2 linked regions of the Canis lupus familiaris genome follow. The protein of the gene in region 1 interacts with the protein of each later gene in a pairwise test. Links are inferred from orthologs where the notes say so. Each region holds a gene or a part of one and is shown on either strand. Other genes may lie near its edges.

Region 1 (10,302 bases):
TAGCTACCACCCAGAAGAGGGATAGGTAGTCAGGACACAAGTTATGGAGAAGTAAGTGCTTGCTGTTTGACAGATGTCTAAATGCAACGAATGCTTCCAATAAATTGGAACCTTTTAAATTTGCCATCAGTGACCTCTTAAAAATAATTTAGTCTTTCTTCCCTTTGTCCCTCCAGGTGTCCACATTTCTTCAGACAGCTGTTCTGTGAACTAGAAGAATGGTTTCATCTTTGCAAATGTCACTTTCCTCCTAAGGATAAACATAAAAGAAGGTAGTTCTGACTCGTATTATTAGTCAGGCGGCAATGCTAGAAGCTATAATTCAAAGGGTTGGAGAATTTGCAGAAAATGAGGAACAGGAGGATATGAGAGCCAAGGTCTGCAGAGACCATGCAGTCGCTAGAACTCACATCAGCCCTTACCCTCCACGTGGCACCAGGTGAGGGCTGGGCACAGAGCTGCTAGAGGGTGGGTGGGGAAAAGAATGGAAAGAAAACTGCACAGATAGTCTGTGGGAGATGCACGAGAAGATTCCCAAGCTGCAGAAGGGCCTCAATGGGGCTTGTTGGGGGAGAATCTGCAAGGAGACAAATCAGCCTTTCTCAACTTCTGCCAGCGAGGCTGGGTGACTCTGGAGCATGAAAGTAGACTGAGCTTCCACTCATGGCTGGAAATGCACAAATAGCAGAAGAATAGGAACGAGGAAATCAACATTAATGCATTGCCAAAATAGCTGGTCGTGAGGTCCTGGGACTGGGGTCTGGGGACTTGGCTGATAAACTGGGAGAATGGATGAGGGGAAAGACAAAGATGTCCTGTGATAAGGGCAAAAGAGGGTTGTTAAGTGGCAAGAGAGCAGAAAAGGAAGATGGGTAGAGTTTGTTTTCCTAGGCCTACTAGTCAGCAGTCTCTCTTAAGGGAGGAGCTGATTGTCATTCATTTTTTATTTATCATAGCACTTGCTCAATTAATGCTTTTAGTATTTGAGTGAACCAATTCATGGGAATGGTTTTCTCACCAGATTATCTTGAAGACAAGCCCTGTGTCTTGGGACTAGTATACCGAACATGCCTGGGAAAGCTCACGGAAGTGTGCAGGTAGGCAACAGCTGCTGAATGGACAAATGAACTGGATCTTTCTGAGCTCTGATTTCTTCATCTAAAAATGAAAACCACAAGATTGACTCCCATTCCTGAGAAGGGATGAGGCACACATTATAATACCAGACAAGTTTGCTCTTAAAATTTGCCAAACCAACTCTTGGGCATATTCATTTAAATTCCTCAGTGGGTAGCTGATTCCCTATGGCTAATACTGTATTCGGCCATGGAGGGAAATGAGTCACACAAATGGAATCATAAATACACAAACACACACACACACACACACAAAACTTGGCCATAGATTTTTTTTTTTACTTTTTATCTTCTCTAATACTCCTCCCTTCTGCCTTCCTCACCCCTTAGACTCCACTCCATACAACAGTCTCTCCTTGGACCAAACACCCATGACAAATTCAAAACAGTTGCCTGGGATTTGGCTACTGCTTAACAGGTAGTTATAAACCATTCTGTGGTGCTAACCGAGCCGGCATGAAGAAGCTAATTAAAGTAGTCAAGAAGATTGTTTAAATAAAAATGAAAATGTAAACACGGTCTTCATTGGATAGAGTGATTAGAAATTACAGTTGTTTGTTTGTTGTCAGAACTCTCTGGGCTTTGTCAAAATCCTGACACATGATATAACCTGTCACTAATCAAGAAAGAAGAAAATAAACCAAAAAAAAAAAAAAAAAAGAAGAAGGAAAAAATTCTAAGTAGGAAAACAGACATAGGAATCTTCATCTTTCCAAGTGGGAAAAAAACATCTCATTTGTTTTTCTAGAACAAGTGTGATCTGTGTTTGGACAAAGTGTGAGCTCCTCAGTTTGCCTTGACAGACATGCTCTCTCTCTCTCTCTCTCTCTCTCTCCATTCTGAAGCCCTCAGGCGTGAGATATGCAGGCAGCTCCAAGTGGGAAAGGAGGCCATGAGGATGTAGACAAAAGAACAGAATTAAGGATAATCAAGGTGAGAAATTCAAATGTTTTATGTATAAAAAGTCAAGCTCCACCTTCTTGTATATCTAGGGTGTACCTGACTTATGGAGACAACTCGACAGCATTAACCTTTGAGGTATTATGTATAACTGTAAGTTATTTTTTCTGAAATTGATACATTTAAATTCAGACTGCTTAAATATCTAATGGAGAAAATATCACAGGTTATGGAAGAATGGGAAATGCATGGAGGGACATGTTGGAAAAAAAATATGTACAGTCTATGCTTCTGCTCCACTCGATTTAGTATGGATACGCTGCACTATAAAATAAAAACTTGAGAATAGGATAATTCTACCTCTAATCTGGAAACAGTTCCTGATATGCAGCATGTACACAAGAGTAGTTTTTTTTTTTTTTTAAGAAAAAGAGAGAAAGATAAACAGATGATATTTTTACCATGAATATTGCTAATTACACCTATGGATACAACATGTGTATGAAGATTGCCATAGATATTCTTCTTATTGATTTATTTATAAATCCTAATTACACAAGGCTTTGAGCTGAGGGTTTGTTTCTTTGTTTAAATGTGGCATCTTGGGGATCCCTGGGTGACTCAGTGGTTTAGTGTCTGCCTTCAGCCCAGGGCGTGATCCCGGGGTCCTGGGATCAAGTCCCACATCAGGCTCCCTGCATGGAGCCTGCTTCTCCCTCTGCCTGTGTCTCTGCCTCTCTCTCTCTCTCTCTCTCTCTCTCGTGAATAAATAAATAAAATCTTTAAAAATAAATAAATAAATGTGGCATCTGCTTATGGGCAAGTATTTCCTTAATATGATTCAGACCAGCTCGACATTTAAAATAAATGACATGGATCTGAATTTCAGAGAGGATTACAGAAAATTCAAACAAAACAAAATGACAATAACAAAACAGAAGTTGCCGGTATGCAATATACAGCAGGAACAGAGGGCGAGGATGAAGGGAGGGCCGAGGACAGTGCTTTACTTGTCTTGATACTAGAGCAAACAGGAGCATCCCATGCCACTTTTGTTCAAACCGTCTCCCTCTCTCCTCCATCCTCTCTGTCCCCCAGTCATTTCTAGGCATCAGCAAGGGATAAGGAGGGGGAAGAGAAGGCAAAAAAAGCAAAGAACTGAGCTCATAATAATAACATTTGCCACTAATGATAATAGCAAACACTCATATACTTGTGGCAGCCACTCCTTGAGTGCTTTACATGTAACGCCTCACTTAATTCCCACAACAATCCTATGACTACTCCCATTTTACAGATGAGGAAGCTGAGTCACAGAAAGATCAAAAGCATTTAAAGGCAAGCACCAGGTGGTTAGCTTCAGACCATACCACTTGGGTGCTACTCCAAAGCACACAGCAAGAAGACAAAAGGTCTGAGACTAAGTAGCTGGCAAATTCCCTTCCAAATGCACAGTCTCCAGTTCTATACCACCCTGGAAATGGGAATTCTCCATGTGGGTACCCAAAGGCTAGCAGGTACCACATAGACTCAATAAATACTGGTTAAATGAAAAGATGTTTCATGTCAATCTATAGTGGAACTCTTTAGAATACATTAAGTCCATAAAAACCACAAAAACCTGAATTTGGTGGACTTACAATAGCCCAATGTCTGCTTCCATGCAGCCTAGGAAGGAGCTTATGGCACTCCCCTGAATTTCATCGTGATAATAAAGATCACCTCTTGTTAAAGTAGCAAGCAGTCCAGATCAGAGCTAGACTTCTCACCTGTCCCTAAACTACAGATCACCCTCAGTGTATCAGAAAAAAAAAAAAAAAAAAAAACCAACTGTGGCACAGAGAGGAAATGAACCGAGACAACATCACTTGCAGCAACCGGAAGGAAAAACACACGTAGGGACGCCACTCACATTCTACGTGTGTGGTTGCCCAGTAGGGAAATGCTTGCAGCTGCCTTTAGAAGCAAGTCTGGTGGCTGCAGCAAGAGAGAAGCAGGATCATGAGGCGGGACTGAGCCGTCACCTCCCGCCTGCCTGGCCAGAGAGAGAGAGAGAGGGCCAGAACATCAGGGAAGACCAGATGAGCCAGCACCAGTGGGCCTGCCCCGGGTGAGTCCCCAGACACTCACTGTGGCCTGGGGGGGTGGGGAGACTCACTCACACTCGGACTTCCTGAGTTGGTGTCAGACATCTGTTAGTGCTCCCCACTGCCGACACCCCTTGACTGGAGCCAAGAGGGACTCAATGGCCCCAAGCAGGGAAGAGTGACTCCAGGTTTCTTTCCAGTTGACCTGCAGGCAGGGGCTTGCATGCAACCCCAAACCTACACGATTGATTCTAGCCTTGAAATCAACCTGGGTAGGTGCTTCCTGGTCTAGAAGCTGGGCGGCTCCTCCCCTCTTGCTGCCCTCCTCAGAGAGCTTACCTAGGATTACCTTATGCTTTGGCTTCTCTGACACCATTTCAGGGCTTCCAGGTGTGGGCTGTCACTTAAACCTTATGGTGGATGTGAGTCATTTCTAATGCCATTTCAGCCCCTCTGGGAATGACCCCTGAGGAGCAGGAAACCATGATTGAGAACTGGAGTCGTGTCCAGCTCTGCAGAGACCCCATCATTAGCATCATGTCTAAGGGCTTGGGGACAAATTGCACTGTGTTCTACTTGTCCACACCCGGCCCCCCCAACAGCTTTGTCCTTCCTTCTCTCAATACTTACTAAGTCACGCGTAACTCATTCATTCATTCGATTGCCTTTCTTCCACAAAGGGTTTGAGGCAGCCTTTTTATCTTGCTGAAATTCTTTCAGAATGAAGGAAACGTACAATGTAAAAGGGCTAAAGCCATTTCTAAAAGGGTTACATGTTGTTCAAACTGTGTGGACATGGGTGAGCTGTTTATATTTTTCCCTGTGCCAGTGGTGAGAGCTGGGAGTGGGTTCTCTGGTCTTCTCTCCCCCCCGAAGCTGGTTCCCACCCAGGAGTGAGTTCAAAGAGCAGTTGCCCATGACAGAGCTCTGGGAACCAGCCAGATGGTTTTCAACCTTGTTTCTGTTTCCTTCCATGCTTGGGAGGAAATTCCGCCCAATTTTCAAGGACATTCCTGTTTTAAGAATAGGGCAAAGGGGAGCCGAGGAGAGAGAAGGATGTGAAATCAGCCTTGAGGTGGAGTTCCATTTCTCATTCATTAGTTAATTCACGTATTTAACACCTATCTCGTGAGTATTCACTGTGTGGCAGCTGCGTTTAAGTCCAAACTTAACATTAGATGGAGCAAAATTGATGTTGTCCCGCTTCCAAAAAGCTTACGGTCCAGGGGAGAAGCAGACGTTAATTACTAATTACACAAATGTGATAATGATCAGAACATATTGTGGGGGAAGCTGATCTCATCTGAAAGGCAGGGAGGTTTCCAGAAGGAGGGGGGAGACTAGAACTGAAAAAGGCGTAGGAGTGCACAAGGCTACGCTCCAGGTAGAGGGAACAGTGGAGACCACTTCCTGAGGTAGGAGACCACAGAATCACCTGGCAAAACCAAGGCCAGTGCAGCAGGAGGGAAGTGGGGAGTGGCTCAAAATGAGCCCAGAGGCCCAGCAGAGAAGGTGCTGCTTACTCTAAAAGCCATGGAGAAGGTAGAGGTGTTGTGGTCAGATTGATCTGCATTCTTAAGAAATCCCTTTTGATAGGTTTGGAGAATGGATGGGAGGGGGCTACACCTATGGGCAGGGAGACCAATGAGAAGGTGGATGGAGTCAGCCAAGCAAGAGTATCTATGTGAGTATGGCTAAGAGAGATGGCAGCGGAGAGAGGACTGCACAAAGTTAAAAGTCATTTAGAAAGGAAAATCGACAGTGCTTGGTGGTAGACAGAAAAGGGGAGTTGGGAGGGAAAGTATCCAAGACAACCCCCAGTTCCTGGTTTGCACATCCAAGTGGATGCTGATGCTCCTTGGCGATCACAGAGACTGGCGAAGCTGGTCGGGACCAGGCCAGGGTTGGTTCAGTTCTAGAATCGATCCAGTGGTAGATGTCAGCCAGCCGGTTGACACTGACCAATATTTAGAGCTCTGAGCAGAGGTCTGGGGATCCTAGGCGTGGGGTTGGTAAGTGTAGCCGTGGGTACGGGTGACCTGCAGGAAAGTGTTGAGTGAGAAAGCAGGAGAGTGGCTTAGAATTGAACCTCAAGGAAGAAGCACCTGGGGGGCTCAGTCACTTAAGCGTCTGGCTCTTGATTTAGGCTCAGATCATAATCTCAGGTTCATGGGATCAAGTCCTGTGTAGGGCGTGCTCAGCATGGAGTCTGCCTAGGATTCTCTCTTCCTCTCCCATCCCCCTCCCCACTGCTTGTGCTCTCTCTCTCTCTCTCTTAAATAAATACAATCTAACAAAAAAAAGAAGAAAGAAAAAGAAAGAAAGAAAGAAAGAAAGAAAGAAGAAAAAAGAATTGAATCTCAAGAAATTCTAACTTTTTTTTAAAAAGAGCCTATCTTTATTCATTCATGAGAGACACAGAGAGAGAGGCCGAGACATAGGCAGAGAGAGAAGCAGGCTCCCTGTGGGGAGCCCGATGTGGGACTCAATCCCAGGACCCCGGGATCATGACCTGAGTCAAAGGCAGATACTCCTTTGAGCCACTGAGCCACCCAGGTGTCCCAAATTCTAACATTTAAATAGAGGAGAAGGGTCCCTCCAAAAAGAGTAGGATGGTTCCTCGAAAAGTTAAATACAAAATTATCACACATGGCCCGGCAAGTCTACTCCTACTTATACATCCAGAAGAACTGAAAACAAAGATTCAAATAAATACATGTACCCACACTTTCATAGCAGCACTATTCACAATAGTCCAGGAGGGGAAACAGCTTGTGTGCCCGTCAGCGGATGAACGGAGAGGCAAATCGTGGTATATCCATGCAACCGAGTATGACTCGGCCACACACAGAAAAAAGTACTTATGCCTGCTGCTCCAGCATGGATAAGTCTCAAAAACACCATGCTGCAATGAAAGAAGCCAGGCACAAAAAGCACACGATTCCATTTATAAGAAATATCCAGAATGGGCAAATCAATAGAGACAGATGTAGATTGGTGGCTGCTGGGGGCTGGGGGAGGGGAAGTGAGGAGCAAGGGCTTGATGTGTACAAGGCCACCTTGTAGGGTGATGAAGATGGTTTGGCTCTAGATAGAGGTGGCGGCTGCCTGGTACTGTGGATATAGGAATATTGCTGAATGGTCCTCTTTAAAATGTCTAATTGATGTTATGTGAATTTACTTCAATATTAAAAAAAAAAAAAGACTAGGAAGGTGTAACTAGAGGAGTGGAACACAGGCTGCATGACTTTGGGCAAATAAAGCAGCTCCCAGTGCCTCTTTCTCTGTGTGTAAATGAGAACTGGCTCACTTGGATGCTCTGGTAAGGATTAAACAGGACAGGGTTTTTAAATTTCTAGCAGAGGGAGGGTGTAGTAAGAGCAGTCAGTTTCCTACTTCTATTCCTCCAGCCTCATCAGGATTGGACTAACTTCTTTTTTTTTTTTTTTCATAGTTAAGAGGATGATTACTCCTATAATAGTCTTTCTTACAAACTGCTCACACCTTGGGGACATCCCTTTATTATTGTTTCCTTTTTTTAAAAAATGGTTTTTTCTTAGATTTTATTTATTTATTCATGAGAGACACAGAGAGAGAGGCAGAGACACAGGCAGAGGGAGAAGTAGGGAGCCTGATGTGGGACTCGATCCCAGGACCCCAGGATCACACCCTGGGCCAAAGGCAGATGCTCAACCACTGAGCCACCCAGGTGGGCGTCCCCCCTTTTTTTAAAAATTCTTTATTTAAATTCAATTTAGTTAACATATAGCGTATTGTTAGTGTCAGAGGCAGACTTCAGTGATTCCTCAGTTGCCTGTAACACCCAGTGCTCATTACCTCACGTACCTTCCTTCATGCCCATCACCCAGTTACCCCATCTCCCACCCCCGCACCCCCTCCAGCGACCCTCAGTTTATTTCCTAGAATCCAGCATCCCATGGTTTGCCAGGACTGGCCTAACGCCTGACAGCCTGAATCTTTATCTCAGGACCTGAGAACTCTCTCTAAGCCAGGTAGGGCCACTGTAATCGCTTAAAGGCAAATGAAAATGCCCAGAAACTGTCCAATGGGCCATAAATATCCCAGCATCCTCAGGCCCGAGCAGAGTGACTCCAAGACGTGTCTTTTACCTTTGCCCCAAAGCTGTTACGCGAGCTCACGCTCAGTTGCCCACAGTGGTAGCTGGCTGCATAATGCGCCCTTCCCTTCTCCTTACCCCTCCCCTACTCCCTACTCCCCGACAGGCTGTCCTGGCATCATTTGTTAAACCATATGCACTTGAATCTGAGTCAGGGTCCGCTTCTGGAGGAAACTGAAGCGGACACAACCTGCTACACAACGCCGTGGATACTCAGGTCATGTCATCCCATGTCCCCCATTTCATCCTAGACACCTGCGCTTCGCTCTCTCGCATACCCATTCAGGGGCCTCCCCATCCCCTTCTGAGATCCCACCTAGAGAAAGGACCCAGTACAACTACAGTGAGAGCCCCCCCCCTTTTTTTAAGCTTTTATTTTTGAGTATCTCAATGTCCAACGTGGGGCTCGAACTTAGAAGCCAGAGATTAAGAGTCGCAGGCTCCATGGACTGAGCCCAGCCGGGCGCCCCAGGGAGAGCACCTTTGGCCTTAACATGTCCTGTACAAAACTGTACCACATCTTCGCTACAAGCCCCCTCCATGTGCCTTCTGCTTATCTGTCTCCCTGTAACTCATTTGATCAAAATTTCCAGACCATAGGGCACCATCTGATAATCTTACATGGTTCACGACACACAGATGTGGCCTGAAATCACGCTGAGGCACTAGACTTTGTCACAGAAAACTTTTCCATTTTCACTCTTTTGAGCCTCTAACTGTGGTCTGATCCCAACGTTCTCTAACCCCGGACCATGTATCATTTTAGACAAAGAGCAAGTGGGCCTTGGGCTCTGAGCCGTCCGCAGGCAACGCTCGCCAGCCAAAACTTCACCACCTGGTTTTGTTTTCCTGCGTCTATTTTTCATGATTCCCTTCTACTAACCTTTAATATCTTTAAGTTAAAAAAAAAAAGGAGTGAGGGGCGCCTGGGTGGCTGAGTTGGTTAAGCATCTGCCTTCGGCTCAGGTCATGATAGGGGGTCCTGGGATCAAGTCCTGTATCAGGCTCCCTGTTCAGCAGGGAGTCTGCTTCTCCTTCTAACTTCTGCCTCCCCCCCGCCCACTCATGTTTTCTCTCTCTCTCTCTCTCAAATAAATAAAATCTTAAAAAAAAAAGTGAGTCGATTGAAAGGAAAAACCGTGTTAGTAACTGTACGAGGCAGCAGACCCCATAGGGCAGACCCTGGGGGGAGGATTGAGAGAGAAGACCAGCAGAGCTTCTCTGGAGCAGGAGCTCCTCATGGTAATAGCTGTGTCTCACTCCACCCAGCACCCACTTAGTGAGTGCTGCAGGGCTGGGAGTGACCCGGATGTCCCGGGCCGGGGGTGACCACACCACCCTTTGCTGCAGATTATTATTATTTTTTCTTTAGAGAGAGAGTGTATGCAAGTAGGAGCAGGAATGAGGGGCAGAGGGAGATGGAGAGAGAGAATCTTAAGTAGGCTCCACACCCAGCCAAGAGCCGGACAGGAGACAGGCGGGGTTCGACCTCACCACCCTGAGATCCTGACCTGAGTGGAAATCAAGTCTTTTCACTTAAACCACTGGGCCACTCAGGCGCCCCCTGCTGTAGATCTTTTTGATCATTCAAATAAAAACTTCACTGTGCCCACTTGGCTGGCAAATATCCAGGCTGGGATGGTAGATTTCGAGGCTCCCTTGCCTGTCTGGTAGGACGGCCCTGGGGAAGCACCCCATGGCTTCAGGTGTGACCTCGCCACGGTGGAGGGAGGTGTCAGTTGCATCAACGCTCATCTTCACATTCGCTTCTCATTAGAAGCTTTGGTTAATGGAGGTCTCTAACTCAATTAAATTTCTCCTTAATTTTCATGCTAGCTGTCATCCTTTCATTTCCCAAAGAAGATAAATGAGGATTGATAACCCAGGCAAATGTCACTTGAGAAACATGAATATTGTGAAACATTTCATACCACAAAGAAGCACATACGATGTAGGCACCTGTTCTCGGTAATAACAGAAATAAAACAGATGCATGTTTACCTACTGCTCACCTTACCAACCCTCGGATCCTGATTCATGC
Region 2 (10,302 bases), on another chromosome or scaffold:
GATGCCCCCACCACGTGGGGGTGGATCCGGGTCCTTTAAGGCAGCAGGGCCATCGCTGTGATTGGCCTGAACTCGGCCTTCCCTGTTCGTTCCCCATCATTGTGTTCATGTGGATGATTAACCAAGTCCTGCAGTCGTGCTGTCACCCCCACCCACAGGCCCTAGCCTCCTGGGTTTTCATTAGTGAATTTCGGGGCACCCCTACTCTCTGTCTCCCTGCTATTTAACTGCTCCTCTAAATTGGCCCAATTTTCAGGTATTAACATTTAAAGATTCGGTGATGCATTAATCAACCTTGCTTTCTGAAAATACTAGTGTTCATGGTAAAATCATCCCTAAACTGTAGCCTACAAACAGCCCTAGGATATAGGAAATAATGAGCATTCCTGAGCCAAGCTAAGTGACTTATCCAGAGGGACATGTCACAGTCATGAGACTAGACCCTGACAGCGGGGACCTGGAGTAAAGGAAAAAAGGTTCCAGGCCAATTTCCCCCTCTCTCCCTTCTCACAGCTTCTGCTTGTGACCCTTCCTACTCTCTCATCTGCTTTGAGTACTTAAAAAATCAGCCTAAAAATAACTTTCAGAATCAGTATTTTTCTAGGTCTCCCCCATTAACAGCCTCAGAAATAAGCCTCCAAGACTCACCTCAATTTCTGATACTTAGCCACATAATCTGGGGCTCTGCTCTAAAAGGAGGCTTGGGAAAGATATTATCTCATGATTACGAGAAGGGGCTGAGGATAAAAGTTCTTAACTATTTGTAATCTGAAGCACATCTTTTAGCGACTACGGCTCTTGTTTACCTCTGTCCTAAACCATTTCCAAGACCTTAGACCACAGAGAGGGGAAAATGTGCACATATAGTTTCTGGTGGCAGATTTTAATTCTGATGCTGAGAGGGATCATGAGCCCTGCACCTGCTTCTAGAGCCTGAGAACAGGGAGCACCTAACATTCATGTCCCATGTCCTGCTAAGTACCAGGCTCTTCTATGGAACTGCCCTAGTGCTGAGCGTCCTCATACCCTGACTAAACTCAGAATGAATTTATACCCCAGACGAAATAGCAAATATACTGGCATGCCAAGGAGGCAGTGTGCTGTTAAGCTTCCACCCCCATCTCCCTGCTCCAACTACTCCGCCCTGAACACAGCAGAACACGAACAACCCCACACACCTATAGATATTGCTTGGTTACTGCCAACAAACAAAGGAAAAGGGAGAGCCAGGAATCTGGGCCAGAGTGACATGAGCAGGCCTCCCTCTGACAGCCAGTTACCCAACAGGCAGACTGGGCACGTGGTTGGGGCAGGAGTAGAGCAGGAATCCAGCAAAATGTTTATTAAAAGGAGTTTAAAATAAATAATTAAAAAAAAAAAACCTTAACAGTCTTTGTGGGAAAAATCAGAACTTTGTCAAATTGGTTATACTTGCTTGACAGTGTAATGCTTGAAAGTTCTTTTGAGGGGCAGAGAACTACTCTTTTCAGGGCTTAGAGCTTCTGATTGCAATCCTGCCTGCCAGGAGCAAGCCAAACCTTCTGGACAGACCACTTCGGTGCCCCCTCCAGTTCCACAGAGGAACAGAGACCCTGGAATACCAAGGGAGCCAAAGGCTGGGGCCTTGCCCCAAAGCACCAAAAAGACATCATATGTCAGCTGAAAGAGAGGTTGTAAACTCAAAGCCCGGGGGCTCAGTTTAGCCAGAAGATGCAGAACTGCACTTTGTTTGATTCTCATGTTTTACAATTTTCACATCAAAATCCACTTTCTGAATTTTTTTTTTTAACAGTGGACTATCAGTACCGAATTTCAAATGCTGCTTGACAACAATCGTTTGAGCTGAGTGTGAGGGACATGCTCGCCTGGGTCTAGTCTGTTAGAGAGGCCACCAACTCCCCTTGGACTCGTTCCTTTGGCTGGCCTCATTCCATTGTGGAGCCCGCCTGCCCCCTAAAAGGTAGATATTTGCGCTTAAGACCCTTTAAAGCTTTAATCCCCCGTTAAATTTGCAGAATTTGTAGCAAAAGAAACACATGAAGGCTTTGACAGTGTTCCTTTTAAGGCATGACAAATGAAAGTCCTAATGGTCTTTCTTCAGGAGAGATCCAGAGCTTGGGGGCTCCAAGTTCTGAAAGGGATGGATGGAGGTGCTTGCTAATAACCAGAGGAGGAAAAAAGACAGGGCCTGGGATCAAAAGCAGAATATAAATGCAGAATTTCACCGTGGGGCTGTCAGTGGTGTACTTGACTTCAGGACTGTGCCATGGCTCCCTTTTCCCCCGCCTGGCTTTATCAGGCAACAGGTAGCCCTTTCCAGGAGTTTAAGTTGCTGGGGCTAAAATAATGTTAGTTTAATTGGCCAGGACAACTGGCACAGGACACCCTGTCCATGATGTTAAGCCAAATATATTGGCCCATGTACCCTGCTGCTAGGCCGTTGGGCACTTCAGACAGTAGGTATAGTCCACACTGTGCATTTCCCTCTCAGGAGGGTTGTGTGAAGGGCCTGCATTCCCTCAGGCCTCTGATAATGCTCCTTCCCCGACAGGGGTGCTCCTGCCCAGAGTGAAGCCCACTGAGCATCACTGGCCATCCTGTCATTCCTTATGGCTACATCCTGAGCGAAAATATAAAACCCCTTTGAGGTTAATGTACTCTTTCTTCTGTCTCTTGCATGAAAAAGAAAAAAAGCCAAATGACATTTTAAAAATGAGTCATCTAAGATTTTAACAACTTCACAATGTCGGCGGGCAAACTCTAAATGTCCAAGAGTCCATAAATGTCTTTCTAAACCAATCATCAGTTTAGCTGCCTTCTTTTGCCCCAGCTGCTCATGTTTTCCAATTTCCAAGTATGTTCTTTATCATCCAAATTGTAACGTTTGTTGATTTAAACCACATAGAGCTCTATGTGGTAGTGAGGAAAACACGTTGGGTCACATTCAAAACTGCCTCCTAGGTGGCAGAAAATCATATGGTACCTCCTTGGGAATCCCTACCACAGGGACAGGTCATCAAGCCTCTCAGCGCCTCCCAAAATTTCCAAAAGCCTCATGACAAATCAGGAAATGCCTGGGCCTGACTCTTACCACTAGGTGTCACACTACACAATGAGGAATAAAGACCCATCAGGAACCTGAAGCAAAAAAAGGAAAAAAGCTATTGAAATAGATATTTTTATTCATGCATGATTTTCTTTCTTAATGGTCATTTTTAAACCTGCAGCTAAAAATCCTCTTCTAAGGTAGATAAGTGGGGCCTTTAAAATACAACTTTTCCTTCTTTCTTCTTCTCCCCCCCCCCCAGACACGAATATTCCCAGATAGGGGAACATCAACCCTCTATTTTACCTAATGCTTGGAGTAGAAAATATTTTGAGTATCGTCTTCAAAGATTACAGTGCATTCAGCCTCATTTCTACGATGTGTTTTCAAAAGTGTTAATACTACAACTGCTTTGGCCCAATGATTGATACGTTGGAATAGAAATTAGATAAACTGCCATCGGGTGCCTCGGTAAATTTCTTTGCATTTCAGTCTCTTTTGGGGAAAGTAGGAACTATACCTAACAAGAGGAGTTCTGAGAACTAACAGTGTATTGCAGTAAGTGTTGGGAATCCTTCTAAAAACATACTGTGATATTTCTAAGAGACATGGTCACCCTGAGGCAGTTATTATGTATCTGTGGACAAGTAATAAAATTTTTAAGCTGGAGAGAAACCTTAAATGACGTTAAATCCAATGTTATTATAAAAGCCGGTACACCACAGCAAAGTTAACTGATCTCTCCAAATTAATATGTAATTAATTAGAGGTAGAGCCTGCAATTGAGATTTATTTATAGCTGTTGTGCCCTGCCTCAATAATTGTATAGTTTGTATATTATATGCCTGCAGAGACAATGGAGTCTATCTTTGGAAGTTTTCATTATAACATGTGATCATTACTATCCTGAAGGTTGTTGTTGTTGTTTTTAAGATTATTTATTCATGAGAGACACAGACTGAGAGGGAGAGGCAGAGACACAGACAGAGGGAGAAGCAGGCTCCTTGCAAGGAGCCTGATGTGGGACTCGATCCCAGATCCCGGGATCACGACCTGAGCTGAAGGCAGGCATCCAACAGCTGAGCCACCCGGGCGTCCCTATCCTGAAGGTTTTATTTCTTGATTTTAGGGCTTTTATCCCCCCTTATATTTTTTTTATCTCACTCCCCCGACCCCGGTTCCCTAAATTCAGATAGTCGGGAGGAGTGGAGGGAGAAGAGATGAGCAAAGGGTTGGTTAGTATATGGCCAGTCAAGTTAAGATGATTGCAATATAATCACCAGAAATTTCTGCAAAATTATAAAGCCTCCTGGAGCTAGTTCTGAAAAACTCTGACCTGAGTTGCTTCATTTTGCCTGGACCAATTCTAGAGATAGAAAAATTCTGTTAGAGGCTGGTTGGCTAGGAGAATGGGGGTAGGGTGGGGAACGTAAGTTATATTTCTGCAGGTGAAACCAAAGGATGAGGAGCCCATAGGGGCTATACACAGCGCCTGGAGAGGTCCAACTGCTGCCCTCTCCAGGGCAGGAGAGCAGGGAGCCAGCAAGAGGGTAATGTTAGGTTGGCGGGAGGGTGGCCTTCTGTAGGATGCTTTGCAATCTAAACCATCCTTAAGGCCCAATCTTGGGTAAGGCACTTCTCAACCTATTCTTCAGCCTCTTCCAAATGCTTCTGGAAAGACACCGGCTGGGTACCCAGAAGTAGGCTCTGCAGCAGCACAGTGCAAATCAGGAAACATGACCTCAATAATTATTTTGTTCGTGCAGGGCAGCTAGCTACAACCTCTACTACAAAGATTAACACCTTGCTTTACCTGAAAAAAAGTATGGTCCTGTTCAGCGTTTTCGCTGAACACAGGGCAGAGTGCTTGCCTCTCCACCAGTCAACAGGAATGTTAATCCCGAGGAAATGATTTGAGGGTTCTCCAAGCATTTCAATGCCAAAAAATGCCAAAAGCTTTTTGGCTTTTAATGCCAAAGCATGCACAACTTTTACCTGGTTGGGGGGGGGGGGGGGCCTCGAGGGAGTGCTACGTGTGTCCCCGCGCCACAAAGAGCCTGGCATTGGCAGGGTGGCAGAGGCAGCCGGCGACCTTCTAACCCGCCAGTGCGTCCTTCCCCGCAGAAGTTTGGGGAAGCAAATCCCTACGTCCAGCCATCATTTCCACCCGAGTTTTCAAAAGATCAAGAAACGGAAAGGTTGGCAAACCCCAAGGAGGAACTGCCTGGCGGGTCTGCGTTCATTGGGATCTCAGCAGCCGACGACCCCAAGTCGAATCGATCGTGGGAAACCCCAGGGAAAGAAGGCCGCTTGCAGAGGGACAGGATTACCGAGTGCAAGCTGCAGGGAAGTACCGGGGGAGGGGGCCTCGGTCGGGAGGACTTTCCAGCCGCTCAGCGTTCATCAAAAAGTTCCCTGTACATGACCCCAGTGGCTCATCGCCGGGAGTTTCTCTGATGAACCCGGCTCAGGGTTTAGGCTTCTCCCCCTTCCTCCCCCTCCCGAGCAGAGGACGGGGCCAGTTCTCTTTTCTGGTCTGACTGGCTTGGAAATTCCCCGCGCCTGACCCCGCCCCGGAGAAATCCCCTGCCAGCGTTTATAGGGCGCCGCGGCGGCGCTGGCGAGCCCACAAGAGTCGCAGCCAGCGGTCCTGCGTCCGTGACCCTGCGAGGCGAGGCGAGGCGAGGCGGCGAGCGCGCAGCCCGCGGCCGAGCGCACCTGGGCAGCAGCGCCGAGCCTTCCCGCGCCATGCTGCAGCAAGCCGAGCACGCCCAGGACTGGGCCATGGAGGGTCCCCGGGACGCGCTCAAGAAGGAGCGGCTGCTGGACGACCGCCACGACAGCGGCCTGGACTCCATGAAGGACGAGGAGTACGAGCAGCTGGTGAAGGAGCTGCGGGAGATCCGTCTCGAGCCGCAGGAGGCGCCGCGCGGCGCCGAGCCCTGGAAGCAGCAGCTCACCGAGGACGGAGACTCGTAGGTGTCTCGGGGCGGGCGGGGACGCCGCGCCTGCAGCGCGAGGCCGAGGGGCGGCAGCCGACCGGGGTGTGGGCACCGATCCCCCGTACACCCCTGGCCCCGGGACCGCGCAAAGCTGCCGGCTGCGCTGCGGGCAGCAGAGGAGGGTCGGATCCCGGGCTGGCGGTGCAGCAGCCCTGCGCTGCAGCGCGCACCCCCACCCCCCAGCCCCGGTCCGGAGCCGGTCCTGCCGGCGGGGGCGGGGCGGCGGCGGGGACGCGAAGTCCCCGCTTGCACAAGGGGGGCGGGAGCTCCTGCCCCGCGGGCGGGCGCCGGGGGGCCGGGAGGGGAAGTACAGGGCGTTCCGGCCCGGCGGGAGGGCGGGGCGGTCTGGCCGGCGCCCGCCGAGGAGGGAGGGGGCCCGGAAAGTCCCTGGGCGCCTGCCAGGAACACTCAGCTCATAATAACCTCGCGGAAAACACCGCGGCCTCGGCCTCCAGAAACCCCGGCCTTGCGCAATCCCCCGCAGCCCGCGCCTCCCTGGGCCCCACGCGATGCACTCACCAGCCCTGGGGGTTTTTCCCTCTCTTCCCCTTAGGTTCCTGCACTTGGCCATCATCCATGAAGAGAAGGCCCTGACCATGGAAGTGGTCCGCCAAGTGAAGGGCGACCTGGCCTTCCTCAACTTCCAGAACAACCTGCAGCAGGTGCGCCGGCTCGCCCAGCCCTGTGCCTCTGACCCAGTGATGAAGTTGGATCTAGCTCAGTTGCTCCCAATCCTTTCTAAATTAATAATCACTGGGCATTATGTACCTTGACCTTTTTACATTGGAATCGGCCAACGTCCTAGAGAATAAAGAAAATTCTATTGATTTGGTGAGGCCTATGATGAAAGCCCACCTGCGGCCTCTGGCATTTATCTTGCCCTTCATACCTGTCTGGGAGGAGGAGCAGCACCCACAACCAGTAGATCTCCGGAGTTCAAGGGAAGACAGACTCTTGAGTTTGGGCCATGGCTTACCCTCTTTCTATTCCCTCTTGTGTTTGTAGACTCCACTCCACTTGGCTGTGATCACCAACCAACCAGAAATTGCTGAGGCACTTCTGGAAGCTGGCTGTGATCCTGAGCTCCGAGACTTTCGAGGAAATACCCCCCTACACCTTGCCTGTGAGCAAGGCTGCCTGGCCAGCGTGGGAGTCCTGACTCAGACTTGCAGGACCCAGCACCTCTACTCCATCCTCCAGGCCACCAACTACAATGGTATGTCTGCCTGCCCTACCCTGCCCATCAGAAGGCAGGTGACATGGAGAAGGGAGAGGTAGGCCAATGTTAGGAGTCCAGGCAAGAGCTGAAACTCTGAATACTTGAAAGGTTGAGAAAATATGCATGCAAAAGGTCTGTTTCATGCCTTGATAAAGTTCATTCAGAGCCCAGATTCTGGGTTCTCCAAATTCAGAATTTATTCCCTATAAGAATAGACAGAAAGTTCTGCTTGAGATCTGAGGGTTGAAGCAAGTGGTTATATTTGCTTCATTGTTCTTCTAGGTCACACATGTCTACATTTAGCTTCTATCCATGGCTATTTGGGCATTGTGGAGCTTCTGGTGTCTTTGGGTGCTGATGTCAATGCTCAGGTGAGTTCTTCATGTCTCCAGATGGAACGCATCAGGGCTCCAGGCCCTCCTCAATAAGACCTCACATGTTCTTGTTGCAAGTAGAAATTCCAAACTCAACCATAAACATCTCAAATTCCTTTTGGTTTCAGGAGCCCTGTAATGGCCGAACCGCCCTCCATCTTGCAGTGGACCTGCAGAATTCTGACCTTGTGTCGCTTTTGTTGAAGTGTGGGGCTGATGTCAACAGAGTTACCTACCAGGGCTACTCCCCGTACCAGCTCACGTGGGGCCGCCCAAGCACACGGATACAGCAGCAGCTGGGCCAGCTGACCCTAGAAAACCTTCAGATGCTGCCAGAGAGTGAGGATGAGGAGAGCTATGACACAGAGTCAGAGTTCACAGAGGACGAGGTGAGTGTCAACTCCATCGCTCTGCACAAAGCAGTACCCTCCCAGGTCTCTAGAGCTCCTCTTTATCCAAAGAGCTCAATGCAATGAAGTTCTCCCACTTTAGTGTTCATGACCAGGAGTCTCCCAAAAGTGTGTCTTTGTTTTTTGCTCTTTTTAAAGGAGAGGAGCATTAAAGAAAAACTTCCTTAGCCCCTGAGGTTAATTTATACTTGGGTTATGGAGAATGGAATCCAAGAGTACTTGATAATGGCCCTCACCCTTATCCCAGTACCTTTGACAAAACTGGAAGCTTAACATGGCTTTTTTTTCTCTTGTTTTTAGCTGCCCTATGATGACTGTGTGCTTGGAGGCCAGCGCTTGACGTTATGAGCTTCAAAACATATCTAAAAGAACACGGACTTGTATATTTGTACAAAAAGAGAGTTTTATTTTTCTAAAAAAAAGAAAAAAAAAGAAAAAAATCAAAAGGGGGTACTTAAAACCACACTTCACATTCCCTAGCCAGAAACATTTACTATGGTGGATCAGCCCTTGTTATTTTTTGTGAACTTTGGAAGGAGGACAAGATCAATGGAATTCAAAGAAAACCTTGTTCAGAAGTTGCCTTTGTGGGGTTTCTGAAGGAGGTTATGCAAAATGTGACAAAAGGACTACATCGCATTGTGCTTTTTGATTGAATCACCATAGATTCAGTGGCTGTGCCCAGTGTGGGATGCGTGACAACCAGGTGTAATGACCTGGTGTGTCATTAAACCTTGGGGGGGGGGGGCGGTGTGGGGTTAAAAGTCACTACCTGTCAAGGTTTGTGTTTACCCCCCTGTAAATGATGTACATTGTGTATTTTGTTGGTAATTATTTTGGTACTTCTAAGACATGTATTTATTAAACAGATTTTTACAAACAGAATTATCGTGATCATTCTCTTTGGGCTGCCATGGGGCTCCCAACCTGAGAGTCATCCGATCCTCTGGGGAGGTGTAGAGCTGTGTGGGAGTGCTTACCACAGCTAGCTACAAAGCCCTTTCAGAGAGCAGCTTCTCACGCTGTGTAAGCCAGCCTCCCCGCCAGGCTTCGCCGGCAGCCCCAGGGCCCTATGCGTGGGAGAGGAGGCTCTAGCAAGATGATAGGAAACCACCATTCTTAGGTGGTGGGGGTGGGGTAGGGGTGGGGGGCTTCTTGGCCTACAGCTGGAATCCTCCATTGTCATCTGCTTTCATCTTGGTTTAAGCATGCCAGGACTCTTCCACTTTAGGGAATTATTTTGATGAAGAGAAATATGCTTAAATCACATTTTATATTACTGGGAAAGTTCTTAACTATAATACTGGAAGTTCCTAAGGAATGAGCTCAGAAATGGAACACACTAACATTAGCAGGTACCCACCTTTGAGCCTTCATTTCTTAATTTATAAACTGGGCTGTTCTAAAGATTGTACAAGATAACACACGTCTAAAGCAGCATAGCAGAGTGCTAGGCACATGGTGCTAGAGAGAAATGCAAGCTACTGCACAACATCCTGTATTTCAAAGGGGAAGAAACCAGTCCAGAGAGAATGTCCAGTCTGGGGTCACCTTGCAGGAAAGGCAGGTGGTTAACTTCCAGCCCTTGTTTCCAGGTGATTAATATCTTTTAACTGCATTCCACCTCTAAATCAACCTATTGTTACCAGCTGTAGTGAGTGATACTAAAGGCCTAAAGAGTCTTTTCCCCAGCTCGGTCCATCTGCTAATTCTACTGAATCTAACAGAAGTCAAGAACTTGTGAAATTTGAGTTTAAATGCTCTGTATTGACGTTTTCATCCCTAAAAGACATTTCTTGCCTAGGTAGAAAGAGTAGTATAGCCAAGTTCATGGCATTATATAAAATACAGAATGGCATATAAATGCAATCCATGTACTTTGGCTTACACCTAAGAAAACATTGCCATTACATTATCCCTTTCCGGATCCATAAATGCTGTCAAAATCCAGTGAGCATGATGATCACCTTCCTCTCAGACCAAAGAGGAGCCAATACGTAGTGGCTCTTTTAATATATAAAGCGTATATTGATTGTAGATTGGAGTGACCCATCAAAGCCATCCCTGTCTTCCTCCTGCAGCCTCAGTCATTGGAGCCGAGCACTGTGGTGGCCCCGCTACCAGCTTTGTCTTCTCTCAAAGTGCTCCAGGCCCATCACAGAAATTCCCCGTGCACCCCAGAGCCCATGAACACAGGTGCTATGTGATCTAACACATGAATGTTGACCAGGTTCGGCTCTGTCAGCTGATG

Evidence for each region.
Region 2: the proteins of NEDD9 (region 1) and NFKBIA interact in binary tests that used the Homo sapiens proteins (3 or more experiments, as listed by UniProt). The two-hybrid records come from large-scale screens. The link is inferred for Canis lupus familiaris from reciprocal best matches to the Homo sapiens genes NEDD9 and NFKBIA.

Annotation. Positions count from the first base shown.
Region 1 is NC_049256.1:12,334,746-12,345,047, reverse strand, and holds the start of NEDD9 (enhancer of filamentation 1), read left to right. Parts: upstream 1-3,945; 5' UTR 3,946-4,146; intron 4,147-4,753; exon of another isoform or gene 4,754-4,893; intron 4,894-10,302. UniProt on the Homo sapiens protein: Scaffolding protein which plays a central coordinating role for tyrosine-kinase-based signaling related to cell adhesion. As a focal adhesion protein, plays a role in embryonic fibroblast migration.
Region 2 is NC_049229.1:14,261,248-14,271,549, reverse strand, and holds NFKBIA (NF-kappa-B inhibitor alpha), read left to right. Parts: upstream 1-5,666; 5' UTR 5,667-5,794; coding exon 5,795-6,021; intron 6,022-6,601; coding exon 6,602-6,710; intron 6,711-7,053; coding exon 7,054-7,264; intron 7,265-7,549; coding exon 7,550-7,638; intron 7,639-7,769; coding exon 7,770-8,030; intron 8,031-8,351; coding exon 8,352-8,399; 3' UTR 8,400-8,936; downstream 8,937-10,302. UniProt on the Homo sapiens protein: Inhibits the activity of dimeric NF-kappa-B/REL complexes by trapping REL (RELA/p65 and NFKB1/p50) dimers in the cytoplasm by masking their nuclear localization signals.